2 linked regions of the Oreochromis niloticus genome follow. The protein of the gene in region 2 interacts with the protein of the main gene of each other region in a biochemical or structural test. Links are inferred from orthologs where the notes say so. Each region holds a gene or a part of one and is shown on either strand. Other genes may lie near its edges. The genes, in order: zfp36l1a and mapkapk2a.

The links.
Region 1: of the proteins of mapkapk2a (region 2) and zfp36l1a, one has a biochemical effect on the other in vitro, tested with the Homo sapiens proteins (2 studies listed by BioGRID). The link is inferred for Oreochromis niloticus from reciprocal best matches to the Homo sapiens genes MAPKAPK2 and ZFP36L1.

The regions. Positions count from the first base shown.
Region 1 is NC_031983.2:18,972,135-18,981,319, reverse strand, and holds the start of zfp36l1a (mRNA decay activator protein ZFP36L1a), read right to left. Parts: upstream 3,861-9,185; 5' UTR 3,730-3,860; coding exon 3,679-3,729; intron 2,414-3,678; coding exon 1,346-2,413; 3' UTR 1-1,345. UniProt on the Homo sapiens protein: Zinc-finger RNA-binding protein that destabilizes several cytoplasmic AU-rich element (ARE)-containing mRNA transcripts by promoting their poly(A) tail removal or deadenylation, and hence provide a mechanism for attenuating protein synthesis.
Region 2 is NC_031970.2:25,083,850-25,093,685, forward strand, and holds the start of mapkapk2a (MAP kinase-activated protein kinase 2), read right to left. Parts: upstream 3,930-9,836; 5' UTR 3,384-3,929; coding exon 3,138-3,383; intron 1-3,137. Other genes in the region: uncharacterized protein LOC100707221, read left to right, coding at 8,595-8,806, 9,304-9,349, 9,705-9,796. UniProt on the Homo sapiens protein: Stress-activated serine/threonine-protein kinase involved in cytokine production, endocytosis, reorganization of the cytoskeleton, cell migration, cell cycle control, chromatin remodeling, DNA damage response and transcriptional regulation.

The sequences.
Region 1 (9,185 bases), on a different chromosome or scaffold from region 2:
ATATTAAACTGTGAAAAAAAGGAAAACTGACAAAAGTCTTCACAATCTTTAGATTAATATGGAAGATCATAATTTAACATAAAAGAAAATATATTCTATTGTTCATTATCCAGATAAATACAAAAAACAAAATTAACAAAAAAATGCATATGATCACCAATAAATATGTTCTGATAAGTTAAATAAGCAGTGACACGCAAACCTTCTGTCTGGAAAGGTTCTCAAATAATAATAACCGTAATAATAACATTAATAAAAAATAATTATCAAATAAAGAAAGCAAAAAGGGATGTAATGAGAGTAGAGAGCTCCACGGAGCAGGTTCTAAAGTGAAGGAGATGGGAGGGGAGGGGGACAAGTAAAGTAAAATAGCTTGGAGATCCGATCTTGTCAAGTCATGCGACATATAACTATATTATGGGAATGCTGGAATTCCCCGGATCGGTGAAGATGAAGGTGTAGGTGCTGGGGGCAGGACAAAGTCTTGCAGGTTTAATGATCAGTTTGATATCAACTTCCTTCCCAAGGAAAAAAAAAGAAACAGCCAGTGACCAGCAACAGGAGGAGAGGGGGGGGCCATAACCAACTTCCAGTTCAAAGTCCTTCCTGCAGACTCACCCGGTTCAAAATTACATAACACGGGGCTTGACTGAGGGGTAGAAGGAGGTGGGTGGGGGCAAATGAGAAAGAACCAAAACAAACAGTAGTCCATTCACCCTAAACACATGCAGAAACTGCCCAGGCACTTTTTTTTCTCCATTTTTAAAAAAAAGAAACTATTCATATATTTTCAGGGTCTGTCATTTCTCTCCATTTGTCTTAACTCAGTCTGTAAAAACGTCTGCGGTGTAGAGCTACAGTTATATTACTGAGCACCCTCTAGCAAGCTCAGGGGAAGTGGTATCATCAGGGAGGATGGCAGGGGATAGAGGGGAGGGGTTGAGGGCTAGTGCAAAGCACTCCCCTTTCCAAGGCCACTTGTGCTGCTACACATTCAAGAATACATGAAGAAGAAAAACAAAAACAAAAACAAGTGGCACCTGGCATAAACAGTCAATTCTTGTTCTCATCATTTTCATTGTTCAGTTTCCTCTCCTTTTTTTGGCACTATGACACATGGCGGGGTACTTTCTTTTAAAACTTGCTGTGCAGATTAAGCGGGAAGAAATGATAGATTTAGCTGAGGGTTCCCTTAATTGATTATATCCTCATAATGCTAACAAGGAACTAACGTGATGTGTAAGGGAGCTTCGAGGGCAGAGGGGAGTTTGAAGGGCAGAGGTAGAGGGGAGTGCCATGTTCTTTGTGTCGTCAAATTTAAAAGTCACTGGTGGATGCGTGCAGTCTAGTCATCAGTGATGGAGAGGCGGCTGAAGATGGGAAGGCGGCGGGTGTTATCCAGCGTGGGGGACTCTGAGCCACACAGGCTGCCACCAGAGCTGCTCTGGTAGCCTTCTTGATCCGACATAGAGTCTGGGGGGCTGGATGAAGACTCCAACATCTGAGGGGACTCCAACATGGGTCTGAAATAGTAAGATGTGCTTGTTGGAGAGGGAGGTGCAGGGGTGTTGGGCTCTGTGCCTACAGGACCGGCATTGAGACTGGGCCCGAACAGGCTGGCCAGCTCCTGGCTGGAATAGGTGAAGGGATTACTGCTGGGCCAGTCTGGGATCTCATCGGGGAAGAACATGGGTGGAGGGGTGACTGAGGTGGGGCTGTCTCTCAGCCCAGCTGAGTTGGAGAAACCGGCAAAGCTGTAGCTGTGCTGCAGCCGAGGTCGCTCCATCTTGTTCATAGAGTTAAGAGGAGAGGACTGCTGGGGAGGTCCACGACGCTCCTCGGCATTGTGGATGAAATGGCAGCGAGGCCCGTATGGGCAGAAACCGATGGTGTGGAAGGTGCGGCACAGCTCAGTTTTGTACTTAGGATGGCGGCTCAGGCTGCGCAGTTCATGGATTCCGTGAGCAAACTGGCATTTGTCGCCATATTTGCAGGAACCGTTCTCCTCAAAGGGCCTGCAGAGCTCTGTCTTGTAACGGCTGGAGTTCACTTGGCTGCTGCTACCGGTGGGACTGGCAGGGCCCAGGCACTTGTTGATGAGCCTCTCGCCCGTCTCGGAGTAGGAGCGGTCTCGCAGGCGGTTCTCCTTGTTGTTGCTGGCATTGCCAACCCCTGAGATGAGTGAGGAGGACTGGTCCGCTGCCTTCAGGCTATTCAGAAATTGGTTCTGGTTGAACTTTGTGCTGCTGACAGAGTGCCGCCGCTGGTACACGCCTCCCACTGAGGGAGATCCCACCGCCTTCCTGTCCAGCAGGGGTCCGGCGGAGCTGGAGATGGGCACGTTGGTGCTAGTGCAAGGAACAGACATGGGATGGGAGACACCCAGGTTGTTGTTGTAGCTGAGAAGTTTGTTCTGCAAGAAAAAATAAAGTACAGAAAACACAAGCATTAGAAAAAGTAGAGCACAAATAAAAAAGCTACTTTCAGCAGCTCCCTGATTTTTAAGTCCGATTGCCATCCTGATGCAACTCCTGAAAGTGACTGAACGCTTGTTAGGCGAGCCTATAAACCATTTGTACAGATACTCTCCCTGAATAAATAAATAAAAATGACGGGCACTGTGGGACTGGTGGGGCTACACCTCCTGCATGACTGTTCTTTTTTGGCTCAGACGACATTAGCGGATACAGGCCTATAGAACAGCAGCTGGTTTGGCAAGTTGCCCAGGTTAGGAATGTGTGCGCCTGTATCGTCAATAGGACAGCAGCAGCAGCACATGAGAGGCCTGTGGGCTACCAGTGTGGGCTACAAAGACCCTGCATCATTTTGAAAGAGAAAGAAAGTGGCCAAACATTCTGTGGATTACAAGGGAAACCTGATCTGCTTTCACACATTTCCATACTAGTGGAAATGAACAGTTAGTCATGATTTACATAAACACGACAGTGTAAATGAAATCCAACAAACCCCAGAGGGAGGCTAAAAGAAAAACAAAAACGCTCTGAGAGGCAATCTGACACTCAAAACGTGAAAATGTATGAAAACGAATTGCGCAACAAGTGTTAAGGTGAGACGATGCCGGTAGTTTAAGTAGTTTTATAGGGGCAGAAAGTGGGCTAAAGCCAGCCAAATCTGGTCAATGATTAGCGAGCATGTGGCTGCTTTGAAAGCAGCATTAAAAGTGGCGCAAAAGTGATCTCATTAAAATAAAGAGGACATAAAGCTTTCACTTTAACAGCCGCTGGTTGACTAAACTGCACACCAGCCTCGCAGCATAAACCATATAGATTAAAGTTAGCAGATGTGGCGCATGTTGAACATTAAATAAATACACAAGTAAATAAAAACACCATGTTTTTAAATAATTTTTAAATTAACGCTCCCGCAGCGCTTCGGTCCACTTTGAAAGCGCTTATAGCGTAAACCCTCAACAGACGAGGCCGAAGAGAGGAAATAACAGACGAAGCAAACAAATAACCACGCAGTTGAGTCAAAGCGGAATACAAAGCGATAAACAGCAAAACAAAAACAGCCTCCGAGCAGCCGGCAGAGGGCCGCGGGCACGGAGCTCGTCATTCCTCCACAGCGGCTAACTCCCCGCTGCTAACAGGCTAATGTCAGCTCACAAGACCACAGACAGATACACAGAGAAGGGGGTGGAAAAAGTTAGGAAGCTACCTTGTTCATTACTTCGAAGTCGAAGAAAGGCGATACCACGGCTGTGGTCATCTTTGCAGCGACCGGAATCAAATCACAAAAGTAGTTTAAAAAAAAAAAAGAAAGCCAGTCTACTTGTTAGAAAGTTGCTCAGAGCTACTGAACTCTCCCCCTCTGCCCTGCACCAACCCCGACATTTGCTTTTTAATCAATCGACTGCAGGGAGGAGCTTCGAAAAACGGGCGTGAACTTTCAGTAACTTTAGTAACTGTAGGGAAAAAAACCTGCATTGGTTTGTCAGTTTATGTGAGATTACTCCAGTGCTGGGTGAGGTTTGAATGCCAAACAGTCTTAGGCTACCAGTCAGGAGGGACAACGCACTAAAAACAAGTTTCTTTTTCTCTTTAACTTCATCGGAGAATCTGAACTGTGGGTTAGATTTGTTAAAAGTTGATTTTGTTGGAGGGAAAAGTGTCTTCAGTTCATAATTAAGCAGTTTAAATATATTTATATCAAACTAAAGTCCAATCAGAAGCCTTCAAAGGCATGTGAATAGGAGTAGTGCAATGGAAATCTTGTACTTCTGGAGTTGTTTACTGTATTATCCTCGGGGTTTCAGCTACCATCCACTACTCTGTAATTAATTTACTCTTAATTGCTGGACTGTAACGTCACTTGTGGGACTTTCCGGTGAATTCAGGCACTTTTAACTCTTTCCCGACCACAGCTATTTCACTGTTACAGCATTCTACTTCCAGCCACAGCTCATTTGTTATTCATTACCAGCAGGTATAAAACTCCTCTTCTGAATTGAATATGTGCATGTCATTTCATCAGGTACTGTAGGCGACAATCTGATACATGAGTGATCTCACTAGATTCAACCGCAGTGGCGTGACAGACTACAGAGAGTGAAACCCATACAAATGTATTGTGGCTCATCTTGCCCACCCCCCTTCATAAAGTCTATGACATCGGCCATGTGCAGGCCCTAATGTCAGGGTTGGGTTGCAGTAGAAAAGGAGAGGAGGGAAAAGAAAAGCGGGGTTGAGGAGGAGGGGGAGAAGAAAAGAAGCTGTTAACATACAGAAAACAAGAAGTTGGAGTATGGAGGAGGGGATGATGGCGTGAGGGGGAGATTTATGGGGGACGTTTATTACTACACAGCATTGCCCCCAGGGAAGTGAGGGAAGAGGGGTGGGATAGAGAGGCAAAACATTCCCTTTCCCCTTCCTCTTCTTCTTTGCCTATACAGGAGCCATGCAGGGGGAGAGTGGGGAGGTGGAGAGCTTTGTCTTTCACTGCTAGCAGCCCTGAAGGAGGCAGGGAAGTTGTTTTTGCACTGAAATGTTGAAACGAGCTGAAATAGAACAGGCCAGATTACACCACAGCTTCTCAAGCAAGTATCTGACTAAGGCCTCATGAGCTGACCTTTTTGGAACTCAAACATCCTCTTCTCTATGCATTAAGAAAAGTAGATGCAAACACCCGGTTACCCTGGACCTTGTCAGTGAACAGCAAGGGTGTGTGTTGGAACATAAAAAAAAGAGTTTTACGAGCCAGGCCTGTGCAGAGCAATCTCCCCCTGGAGTGTTTTCACAGACGACAGGGTGGGATGACAGACTTGCTAGAAATCTCGTCTGCAGTTCAAAGGGCCTGTCACTGATTGATTAAGTGGGCCAGATCGATTGTCCCTCTAAGGGAGAAACAGAGCGGGGAAGTAGAACGAGAATCACTTTTTCCCACCCTTTTCTTTTCATTTTGCAAATGCAAAAATCCCAGAGCTCGTGTGGGAATTCATAATATGCAACACAAGTGAAGAATACGCTCATGTAGCTGTGATGCAGGAGCTGGAAATTTCACTGTAGATACTTGCAAGGATTTAAAGCGCACAAGGTCAGCAGGGCTCTAAACTCAAAAACAAACTACCCACTGACTGATGGAAATGCCTTCATACTGGACCTTGGCCTTAAGAAGCCTCATACAGTGCATTTGTTTATTTTTAATACTCTCAGATATATCGTGCCTGCTGATATTATTGTGTGACTCAGTTGTCCTTCCAGGTTTAGGAGGAGGCACCTGTTTCCTGCCAAAATGAAAATATATAGAAAAAAAGTCAGCCTGCTGTGCTCTCAGGGGATTTAGTCAGATGCTTTAAAAATGGAGACAGTAAACCACTGTAATAACTACTGACAAGACTTTAACACAATGCATTGCAAAAAAAACCTGCATTATTTTAGTCTGGACTATCTTTCCTTTAAAAAGAAAAAAGGATCTCATAAAGAGTTTGAAATCCAAATATTTTCTGTTGTCACAAATGACAGAAATCTTGCAAATAAGGTGTGTAGAAGCATCATGACGTTTTCACTGACTTCCAAAGGTACAAACACAAAAGGCGCAATCCATATATCAACTTCTCTGTCAGTATTTTCCTCTTACTGTTGACTGAGTTGAGCTCTCTCTTAGGAGACTTGATTTCTGAGGTTTTGTGCTCTCCGAGGTCAAGGCTGTCCTCCTTGTTTTTTTTCCCTCCAGGCTCTGCTGGAGCTGGAGTCGGTCACTCCTCAGCATGTGCTGCGTCGTTTGATTTCTGCCTCCTGCGCCGTTGACTTTGATGACCCCAAGCTCAGAAGGGAGGATGGGGATTGAGCTTGAGGTCACTGATAATGTTTAAGTGGGATGACAGGATGTTAAATTTTTCATCTATCAGTACTGGAGATGAAAGAAGTCATGGAGGAGAACAACAAATAAATGGGAGGTGACTGTTGTGGCAACGATTTGCTGCAGTTCCTCCCTGCAGCCAACAGAGGGCAAAGTTCTTCCGCTTCTCTCTCCTCTGGTCTCAGCATTTCCTATTTAACTCCTCTATTTTTGTGCTGTATTTTAAGTCTTTGCACGTTTGCCTAAAACATAACTTTACCTCAACAGAATAGTTCTACATTGAGTGGGAATTTCTAAGATTAGACCAGCAGGTCAGCTCAGTCAAACACAGCTCATTCGTTGTGCGGCTTTGAGGTAATTTAGTGCTCAGTACAAACTTGTGAATTGTGTAATCAGCCTTTCCACAGATACACTAACACTGGCCTTGTGTGAAGCAAAGGGACTTATCAGCTACAAAACTCACAATTACTCAAACTAGTATTGTGGTAATCTCAAACCGTGCTGCACCACATCCCAGTTAAGGTGACCACAAGCTCATTAAACAATGTATTAAAGAAGAAATAAGTAGTATTTTTACTTTTTACTGCTGCATGGTGCATAATGTGTATTCCTGGACTTGATAGGGTTGTTGATGAATACCAGTCACTTAGTGGTTTCCACTTAGTGAGATTTGTGCCTCACTAAACAGTCATCCCCCCACACACTTGCATTTTCAATTCCTTAATATTAAGGTTATTACTGTATATGCAGCTGTGAGTGGAACATCTCTGCTTCGCAAGAAATGTATTTTCAGTTTGTCGCTGGCACATCTTAGTTATTTCTGCCAGTTATGGGAAAACAACCTTTAAGAGCTTACCAGGGCCGCTGTAGGTTAGATTTGAGAAGAGGGGACATAGTCAAGGTGAAAAAAAGGTAGTTGCCATTTGTGTTGTAGTGTTGTAGTTGTGTTGTATGTTTTCTTCTAAATAGAAGAAAAACATACAGATTTCCTTAAAATGCATATTTTTATGATAGTCACAAGCATTTCCTCAATGCTAAATCCAACTGCAAAGTGTGTGTTTTTTCAAATATTAAGGACTTTATTTGTTATGTTATTAATGCTTAAGTAAAGGTAGTTACAGTGTATCAAATCAATGTTCAGAAGATGGTTGTATTAGCATATTTTTCTTTCTTTCTTTTTAAATAACAGATGGAAGGTGACCTTTATTTGAGTACTTAAGCCTGAGGAGGAGACACTTTTAAGTGCTGCATTTAGCTGTAATTTAACAACATGTTATTTTAACCTCAATTAGAATATACTGAACTACTTCTTTGCTATAAATATGTGGAAACATCTGTATTGGAGCACATTTGTCCTCTGAAAAATAAAAAAAGTGGAAGATAAAAGAGTTTAAGATGAAAAAACCAAAACAATGATTTACGCAGTACATATGCTTTTTCACTACTGCAAATGTACTGCAGGAATAGAGTCAGTTGTGTTTCTGCTTCTATTAAAAGTCATTGCTTACTCAACAACTTCCTTTTTGTTTTTCATCAGGACAGCTAATCACTCTGCTGACTGTTGAGTAATCAGTGGTCAAGGATAGTCAAGTTTGAGCAAAAAAACCAAAACAAAACAGACTTTGATTCCTTGAATATGCTGTCATGTGTGATCTCATATTTACTGTGATCCTGCACGGGTTTTGTTTCTGTATCCACTGCCCACTTCCAATTTGTGTGATCCTGTCCTTGTCTGTATAAGCCTTGACAGCCAGGACACCATGATTGCTTCCTTTCATGTTTCATGGTATGTTTGCCAAATTCATATGGGAGGACTGTGGTCATCATGCAGGGTGAACCTAGCCTCAGAGGAAGAAAGTTTAGGGAGAGAGAAGGATTGAGGGAAGGAGGAAAATAAGAACAAGCAGCGATTAATTGTCCATAAGAGTAGCCACAGCATTGTTAGTGGTAAACCGCCAACTGCTCTTGCTGATCTTGTTCCCATGAATCGCTCCAACATGCCCATCCATTCACTTCCACTGCCCTTCATCTCACACTGGGTGGGATGCGGCATCAGTGCTAGCCCTGGCTCATTTTGATGGCTTTGACACGTCACAGCATTACATTCATGACCGGAGTTCAAAACAAACACCATGTTGGAAATGTGAGTCTGTGGTTCCTTTGCTGCCAATTTACAGCGAAATAGGAGAAGAAGAAGAATGATGTTTTGGTAAATGCAAAGTCGCAAAAAATAGCAACAAAACAAGAGAGTGAGGGGTCAGCGTTTAAAGAAGATTTACTGCCCAATTCTCTGTTGACACGCCAATCTCTAGAGGACGGTTGTATTTAGAACGAAAGGCTGGCTTCCGCCTCTGACTTCCTGACCTGCGTTTCCTGAGGAACAATCTTTCTGTCTATGCAGAGGGCTCATGGGAAGGGATAGTTTGGTTTTCCACACACACATTGGGGGTCACGACAGATGAAGCCGAGGTCAAAGCCATCAAGCTACAGAAATGAGTTGATGACCACAGCGATGTGATGCATAATGCATTAAACTCACAGTACAACGATGGCACTTAGGCCAAAAAAGTTAGGGACGCAACGATGAATCATGGTGATTGTTGTGACCAGATCCGACCGGACTGGACAGACCTGACCCTGGCCCAGGTGTCATGACCATGCAGTGGACGCTGAAACCAGATATTCCTCAGCTCCTCACTCAACACTCGCAAAAAATCAATGGGCTTTGTATAATGTTGGAACAGTGGAAAGCATTCTCTCACCCCAAAAAAATCCTGCCCTTGTCCCATCTGTCTCAATTCTGCAGCTCTCCCAGACCCCACAACCAGCCCTGTGTGGTCACTCCTGGACTAGAATTACAGAGTCCA
Region 2 (9,836 bases):
TAGGCAGCAGAAGAAAGCTCCTTTGCAATCTAATGGGGTGTTCCAGTGTTAGAGACTATGAATAGTCTGTAGTTGCTTAATGGATTGGTTCAGGAGTTTATTGCTCAGGGGTGAGACCATTTCTCAGTTAAGCGGTGTGGCCAGACCAGTCTAAGACCCTTACAGTTGCAAAGAAAATTTCCCAAAACAGCATTTAATAAAGATTTGATAAAATTGCTGGTAAATACCTCTGCTAGTTTGGTATTTGGTATTCTAATGTCAGAATTAAGGATGTCAGAATTAGTTGAACCACATCTTTATTGACATATAGTGATGTGTCAAAACATACCATTAAGGATACAGGAGAGGTATTTAGATATTGTCTCTAAGGGGCAAGGACCTAATGTAAAAAAAAAAAAAAAAAAAGCAGTTAGAGGATCAAAGATGTTATGACCCCACTGGCCACTAACCTGGGCTGTAGCTCTGACAGACAGATGCAACCCCCATTCTGTCTGTTAATTTTTCTTTGAAGGGAAGTTGCAAACAAGCAAGGGGTAAAGTAAACAGATGACAGCCGGCTAGCATGGCTGTCACCCAAAAAAAAGAAGAAGTGGCCGTTTGTCAGGGTGTGAATGCTAGCATGGAAGAAGGCCACTGCTGCTAGCATTGCTAAGTTTGGTTCGCCAAATTCTGCTAACCCTGATATTGTTTTTTGTGTAGCCTTTTCCTTTGTTGCTGGGTTTCAAAAAGATTGTGGTTTTGAAGGAGCTGCTCTCATGATTCACTGAGTGACAACAATAACTGGCCAATCAGTGGCATGGAGTCTGTTGACATCACATTTTTGAATTAATTCAGATCACTTGGAACCTAGGCCAAGTGGGTACCTGGTGCCAGGTACTACCACATAATGGAAAACCCTGCAAAACGGAGTTGAGTCCAGCCAAGCAGGTAGTAGGTACTAGTGGAAAAGGTCTATTAGTCGCCAGGAACATCTCTAGTTTTGGTACTGAGTAAATTAAGAAAATAGATTTATTATTACAACATTAAAATTATTTAACAATGATGTAAACAAAATGATTTCATTACCAATTGTAAGTCTCCCTCTCACCGCCTGCCATTTATCCCTCTCTAGTGCACTGATCTTATAAGGCAGATGTGCAAAGTATTTTTCAGTTTTGGATCATTTAAATTGACACTGGAAATGGATTTAATTATATTCATATTCTAAGATGAATATAATTAACCTAATCAAAGTATGACGGTTTTGTTACTACTTTTCTCAAAATGTTACACTAAAATGAATTGCTGACTTCTGAAACAGAATCTAGCTAACACTAGTTAGTTACCAGCTGCAGTTCATATATCTTTTCTGTACTTCTTTTGAGAAAGAATTTAGATATTTTTGGTCTGAAACTGATGGAAAATTGACAGCATTTGCAACTGAATTTACCCTCCAGGACCCCACTCATGCCACATTCAGTCAAACCTAATAAGACTAAGATTTAATAAAAGAATGACCCAATATATTATATCATACTTGGAAAAAACTTCTCTACTCCCTCAGCCTTAAGCGCTCAAAAATCCTGGAAAAAAATTAAGTACAGAATTTCAGCCCACTTCTGTGTAATCTGAGGACCTTTAACTTGGAAAATTTTTCACAGTGTGAACGCAAAACTGATTTTTGAAGGGCATGAATTACTGATCAACTGCAACAATAATCATGGGAAGTTGCAACCTTGTGCCAACTTGCTTTCACCTTTGCACTTCTATTGGATATTAAATACTGCTTTACTAGAAATGTTTTACACTGCACTGTGAACTGAGCCCACTTCCACTTTAAAAATGACAACTATATTCACATAAAAGGCAGCTATAGTTTTACATGCAGCGCTATCAATGTATAATGCCCCTGCTCACACAAGACAGCTGAGAAGACAATTGAGAAGGCCTGAAAGTTCAACATGACTTTCTAAGTTTATACTTGTTACAAGTGTTTTAACAACAAACAAAAACATGGCTCACTGATGGTTGCGTGGGAGCTTGTGTGGAATTTGCTGTTTGAAACATACACACAGAGAAAGAGAGAAAGCGGTCACCTGTTTTTTCAGGTTTTAGATTTGTATTTTTCATCTTGTCTTTCCCTGACTCATTCACTTGTGGAGGACTGTGCAACAGTTATGCATGCTGAGAATCTTAAGATTATACTCCCTATCATGATGATGGAAAAAAAGCCTTCTGTGATATTTGGCCTCACTGGATAACATTTCAGTCACTTGTGTGTGTGTGTATAGCTGTTGTGACGTTTGTCCTTTATCAATGATTGACCAATACAGAAAATGATCTCTTAAGAGGTAGATCCTGATACTGCAGTGTCACTTTACAGCCACAACCCTAACAACCCCTACCCCCCACTCATACACACTTTTTTTTTTTAAAGCTATGTATGACATTCTACCTTGTTACTACTTAAGTGGTGGAAGTGGGTGACACGTAAAACAATAACAATGTGAAATCCAAAAAAAACCACAATTGAGAAACAGCTTTAACATCACACAGCAGCCTCCAGTCACAAGAAGCAGCACTGCACACTTGAACTGGCGAGATACCTGTTGTGTATCAATTCACTATTTGCTTGTGCACCACCTTAGTGCGATGAAGTTACATGTTCTAATAATAGGAGTTAAAAGGCACTTGTTGGACAACATCGGGCTATATTTTAGGGTAAGAAATTATTGACAAAGGTGATCAAATATTTAATTCGTGGATTAACTTTTACCAACATTACCACATTAATGAAGAGAAAGACAAAAAAATTAGAAATTTGGTTCCTGTAAAATGTAAGCAAACTAAAAGTCGAATTTCCTAAAAGTTTGAGGTCCTGATAGGTTTTATCCAAACAGCAGGCTAAATGTAATACTTTGCAGGAGAACAAACAAGGAGAAATATGTCTAAATAATAAGTCTAAAAACGACACTGTGGGACAAAAATGAACTGCTCAACGTGTGATTGGTTCTGCTTTCCAATTAGAGCGTCCAGATATGTAGAATTGAACTTTAAAAGTCTTAATTGCAAAATAGTGACCACTGCATGAACTCATAGCTGGACAAAAGATGGACTACTGTACAAAATTGCGTTGCTTCATTACAGATATGACCTACCTTTAGGGCATACTTGTCGCCAGTGCTCTTCTGTACTATTTCGAGCACTTTTCCATTGATTCCCAACCCCAACACCTGGCTGGTCACCTTGTATTCGTCAGTGATTGCGTTCTTCCTGATCTGTAAGGTGGGTCTGGGCTGGAAGGAGTGGAACTGACCCGAAGGGTTCTGCTGCCCGGCTGGGTTCTGCTGCCCCGCCGGGTTGGGAAACAGTGGCTGGTTCTGTGAGTTTGATAGCATGTTCATAGTCTTAGGCTGAGAGGTAAGCAGCCTCCCCTCAACAATACTGTTCTTAATACAGAGACCGAGTCTTCCTGAGTTAGCTGGCCTCTGACAAACTGCTCAGCGCGTCGCGTCCAGGCCCGAGGAAAATCTGGCAGTAGTTCTAACGATACAGGTTCACAAAGTCACTCGGTTAGCCGGTAAAATGCCAAGTTAGCTAGCTATTAGCATCCTAGCTCGAGTCTTTTCTGTGATTCTCGGCTAACAACTCAGCTATCGGTTAGCTTATCCATCTCCGGTGGTGTCCGCCGTCCACCGGTTTCCTCAAAGAACCCTTCAGGAACTTTTCTAAAACATCCTCTAAGGCGGCAACAGCGGTAGGGTTTGTTTTTTTTCACTCGATACCGTGAAACCCCTCGAGGGAAGTAAAAACAAAAACAACAGAAACACTTAACGAAAGACAGGCAACACAGGGGGAAAAAACTCCGATAGCAATAGCACGACAAACACACTTCACTTTCCAACGGACAGACACCCAGCAGGTTTAGCTTCTGACGTCATATGGCCGGGGCTTTTTTTCGGCGCTTAAAGGAGAAGTGCACCAGAGGAAACGGCTGGATTCATTCAACAGACTGGAGCGTCGGCCAGGAGAGGGCACACGCACAGGCGTTTACAAGAACAGAGACTTACTTTGCCAAAAGATAATCAAAGAGTAATCTGCATTTTTATTGTGTGTTTCCTATATGACAGTATGAAGCGCTACGCGGGTTTTAATTGCCAGTCTTTGAGGCAAGAGATCCCCCTCCAGAGTTTATTAGCAGTCTAACAGGGACAGGGACAGGGACGAAAATAGACACTAATCTCTGACCAGAAGGACCAAAGTGCTATAGGTGACCTCAGTGCTAGGGCTTGTGTGCCTTTAATTCTGCTGTTCCTACTTACACATTGATTTGTTTTGGGAAAGGCGCGATATTGGTAAATTAGAACCCAAATCTGCATGAAAGTATTGAAAATACAAGTTACAGAGCAACCAGGATTGTACACACATCACTATCTTGCTTTGTCTTTTTCCTGGATGTATGCAAATGTCAAAGGGCAGCAGTATATAAAATGTTTTGTATGCAACTACTAATATTGTGATTGTCAAACAATGAAACCTTACTATTTGCCTAAAAGCAGCACTGAATGCTAGCGAGAGCCCATGCAATCAATCACTTTAATCATTTTTACATTCTAATTATTAAATGAAAACTTCCTTGAGGTTATACAATTTCCAGTTTCAACCCAAAACACAGATATAACAGGGTGTTTTGGTCCGTAAGTTTTTCATTAAACTCTGGTACCTTTACAGCACGTAGCTAGTCTCTGACAGCCTAAATCATTGCAACATTGTTGTATTTCAGAGGACTGATGGATACATTGTGTTGCTAATCTGCAAGGGAATAAGACAACACAATAACTGTGGAAAAGAAGTGATTACAAAAAATATTAGGATAAGGGAAGACTTGTGGTAACCAGCATGACTGAGGAGGAAACTGAACAGATGGGCCTCTGCAGGTCAGTCTATGTAGGTTCTCAGTCGTCCATGTCAAGGTAGTCTTAAGAGCTTTAAAAAAAGGAAGCTGGACTTCTTTAAGCTAGTGGAGACATCATCCAAGAGGCTGGAGAGACCCATGTCTTGAAACCCTAGTACACTTGACCCAAGCTGCACATCAGCATTTAAAGGATAAAGGTCACTTTTTGAGGATGATAATGTCCACATTTTAGACCAAGAAGACAGATGATTTGAAAGAGGAGTACAGGAGGTCATCTATGTCCACTGTGAGCAGCCATCGGTGAACAGGAGTGGTAGCTTACAACACCAGCTATCAGCCACCTACAATGCAGTCTTGATATCCCCTCCCTGGCTCTTTAACCCTCCCTCACACCTTGCCTCAGGTGACCTCAATAGGGTGGGGTAAGGTCTCACAGTGTTTTAACCCTTAACCCCCATTGATGGTATTGACCTGTGCATTTTTTTCACACCTTGGCTCATGTGATAATCCTCAGGATTACTTCCAAAGGAGAAAAATCCCACTAGGCACTAGGGGATAAATACCTGGGTTTCTCCATCCTTTATTTTCAGAACTGAAGACACCTCTTACATGAGGTGGTGACACGTTTTCAGAAACCTAAGGAAGTCCACTTTCCATCTTTCCCAGACTTTGGGATGTATTCTTCACATGTCCTTGAATCTAGAATAGAGGTTGGTGAGCTACTTTTAAAGCGTCACCCTCCTCTACAGTTCTGAAACAAGCGGAAGTTTGTTGAGGATATTCCACGCTCACATTCAGCTGTTCTGGTGAGTTCACTGATGCACCTCTGCACCGGGAGGAAAGGTCTCCTGTTTGGCCTCTGAAATATTAAAAAGATAAAGTGTATGAGTGCAAGCAGTTTTGTTGTTGTTGTTGTTGTTGTTGTTTTTCTTTCTGGGGGAGATTGGGGGGGGTTCCCAAAGGAACAGCAAAGTGACTTATTGGTTCCCTATTCAAGTTAATATGGTGTGGTGCTGGCCTTGGCCTAATAACAGCGAGCCTGCAATTAAAACAAACAAAAACATGCACAAATAGATGAGTGCAATATTTCCCTTTATTTTTCTGCCACTTTAATTTCTTACTACAGAGTCAAGCACGTGGTCCGGAACTAATGGCGGTAGATAAGCTATAAATTGAATGCAGCGCCTCTTTTTTACCAGAAGATGGCAGACAAGTCTTAACGAAACGCTTTCCTCAAAGCATATTATATCGTGCTTTTAATCTCACCGGAGAAGAATATTAAGTGTACATTGTACAATATGGATAACATTAACATTAATTTATTTATTTAAACTTTTTTTAAAATGTTAACAGTGATCTAAGGAGCTTGCAAAGCTTTTTCCCTTGAAATGCTTTGGTATGTAGGATACTAATATAGTTGTGTTTAGATTTGGCTAAACGGTGATTAGCCAAATCTAAAAACAATCTGAAAAATCTGTTTGGAACACGATCTTCCAACAATGTATATGCTTTGGTTTCCTGTTGTGCAAAGTATTGTTTATTTCAATCATGCTGCACCTCCTCTGAAGATTTCAACTTAAAAAGTACCTTTTAATAAAAATTAGAATGTTAATAGAACACAATCATTATTGCAGTATTCATATGTAGTATAAAAAACTTCATGCGGTCATTCTCATTGTGCTTCCATCAGTCACAGGTCAGTTTGGTTAACTTTCTTTCTGTGAGTAGGATAAAGTTTGACTGCTCGTGTTGCTGAATGAAATCAAAGTCTACTTCACTGCCATCAGAAGTGAGAGAATACCACTAAGATATGTTTAATGTGTGAAATCAAGATTTTAAAGGTTTATCCAAAGTAGCGCCACATTATTAAAAAACTTAAATGGAAACACACATACACTCATCTGCCAGTAATTGGCTCACAATTAAGTAGAAATGCCGCGTTATATTCTAGTGACATATGCTCACTGACCACAACTTTTCAGCTGCTTATCAACATAAATATCTAATCAGCTAATCACATGGCAGCAACTCAGTGCATTTAGCCATGTAGACATGGTTAAAAAAGATCATTAAGTGACTTTTATTGTTATTGGTGGCAGTCATGCTGGTCTGAATATTTCAGAAACTGCTGATATACTGGGATTTTCCCATCTCTAGGGTTTACAGAAAACAGTCTGAAAAGGAGAAAATATCCAGTGAGCAGCAGTTCTTTGGACAAAAAAAGTGTCTTGTTGATGTCAGAAGTCAGAGGGAAATGGTGAGCGCATTTTGAGCTCATAGGAAAACAGACAGTAACTCATTACAGTCAAGGTATGCAGAAGAGCATCTGTGCTATAGCAGCAGAAGACCACACCAAGTGTCACTCCTGTTAGCCAATAACAGGAAATGTTACACAGGTTCATAATAAAAGATATAGAGCACCTTTATGGCGTTATTTCAGTGCCACTATTCTGAGCGCACGTAAAAAAATATTGCAAGTGCAAGTGTTGCATTTTGAGGAGAAATTTATTTTGAGCGTACAAAAGCTGAATTTGAGTGAACAAAATTCATTGCTGCGTGCAAAAAATGTATTTCAGTGTTTGCGCTTATCCATATACACACACACAATAGCACCCCCTCTCGCTCAGTTTTTTCATTTGCGCTTGCTCGCAATGTGTTGCTTGCGCTCACAACATTCTCTGCTGCAAGCGCTCAACTCTCTGTACACCGTTATAAGTGTGCCACAAAACCAACCAATCACAGACTTGGTTTCAAAAATTCTGATTGGCTCTTACAGTCTCCAATCAGCTCGCTAGCTGCTGCATTCCGGAAACAGTCCGAAATGTAGCTAAATCCAGCTAAACTCAATTTAACCCCAATTTGCGGATAATATCTTTAATTATTTTATTTTAAAATATATTATTTGTTAAGACTATCGTTGGTGTAGTATAATGTAGTTGCATTATACAACCATGCCAACTGACTCTCCAAATTATATTTGAGTAGCTCTCTTTTATGTCGTCGAATACTGAACAGCAGCACGAAAACAACATGTCCCGGCCACATGTAAGTAATATAAAATCATTTTGTACATTATTATTCGCTTGATAACTGACGTTAGCTAATTTGCAAACTATGCAAACTTGAAAAATGATGTACCTCATGTAGTTCGTTTTATGGGTTGTTTATTTTTGTCTGAGATACGTCATTTCATTGTATTTTTCTAACTACTTGTCCATGTTTGCTGCTTTTAACAGGACATACTGAGACAGCAAATGATGCATAGACTCCTCTCTAAACTGGAAGCTGCTTTAAACCAACAACCACTAAATCTGGATTATTTGGAGTTCTTGACTCGTCATGAGCTTGTTCTGTTTGAATCTTTCTCTCAGCAAATAGGTGGTCTGTCAGAGATTACAGAGGCTCTACAAAATGTTCATCATCTGGTTCAGTGTGAAATTAACATCACCTCTGTGGGAATTATTGAACTGGAAACAGAAGTTGGTCTGGGACCTGGCCACCCCAAAATCGTACTAGAGAGAGAAAAACTGAAGAACTTGTTGGACACTCAGCTGCCAGTCAGCTGCATCGCTAAATGTCTTGGTGTTTCAAGAAGAACAATCTTCAGGAGGATGCAAGAATTTGACTTGTCTGTGAGAGGAACATACAGCACAATGAATGACCAAGAGCTGGACAACATCATATCGACTATCAAAATCAGATGCCAAATGCTGGCTATCGAATGGTTCAAGGACATTTGGTTTCTATGGGTCTCCGTGTTCAGTGGTGGAGAATGATGGCCTCCATGCATCGAGTTGATGCTGTTGGGATCTTCACACGGATTACAGAACTAGGCTGTGTTGTGCGAAGAAGCTACTCGGTGCGAGGCCCTCTCTCCCTTGTCCACATAGACACAAATCACAAGCTAATAAGGTAAAATACCCACTTATATAGCTCTAATAAAAGTTGGGCAGAAAGATGCACGTTATACTTTAAATCTGTTTTAATCAACCTTATCTGATAGGTCTTTCAGTGTGTTTATAATATTTTAAAAAGCACTTCATATTGTAATATTAAGTAAAAGGATTACAGGATGTGTAACAAAAGCAGTAATATTGTTAATTGTAAATTTTCTTGAGCAATTATTTACACTTTGTATATCGATATTTTCCATGATAACAAGCCTATCAACACATAATATGGTAAGTGCTACTGAAAACTTAAAAAAAAATCATGACAAGGGAACTAAAATATTTAGTCTCATTGAACTTATCCACTTTCACATATAAAAATGTTGGTATTATTTTCAGCACACCTGACAAGTGTCCAGTTTAAATCAGTGGCAAGTTTGGTTACTGAAAAATGTATTTTCAATGTCTTACATGTTCTGCAAATCAAGCCTTAGTGAGATTGTTTTCCCTCTGAAACAGGTACAATGTTGTGATCTTTGGTGGAGTGGATGGCTACTCAAGGAAGGTAAATTTAAACTGTTATGTAGAATATTTGGTAGTTTTGAAATGAGAGCTGTATTAGGTTATTTTTTTATGAACATCAATTATTCAGCAAGCCAACATAGTGGACGATTTGCAATTTAAAAAAAAAAAATTATAATCAGTTCTTTACAAAAAAAAGGTTCAACTAAAAGGCCATTTTTATTTTTTGATAAGTACTACCAATATTGATATATAGACTACTCAAGCTTTGAATTATGGTTTTGAACATAGAACCGTACAATGTTCCTTGAACACTTATTATGGAACTGCATTATTAACTGAAAAACTATACATGATCTGAAACCAGATCTTTAATTTTCCATTTGTTTTTACTGCAGGTCCTGTACTTGGATGCAGCAACTAACAACAGGGCAAAAACTGCATTCTCATTTTTCCTGAGATCAGCCCAGCTTCACGGCTTGCCATCAAGGTTTAATGCCCTGATCAAATTTATATGCTAGCAACAAGTT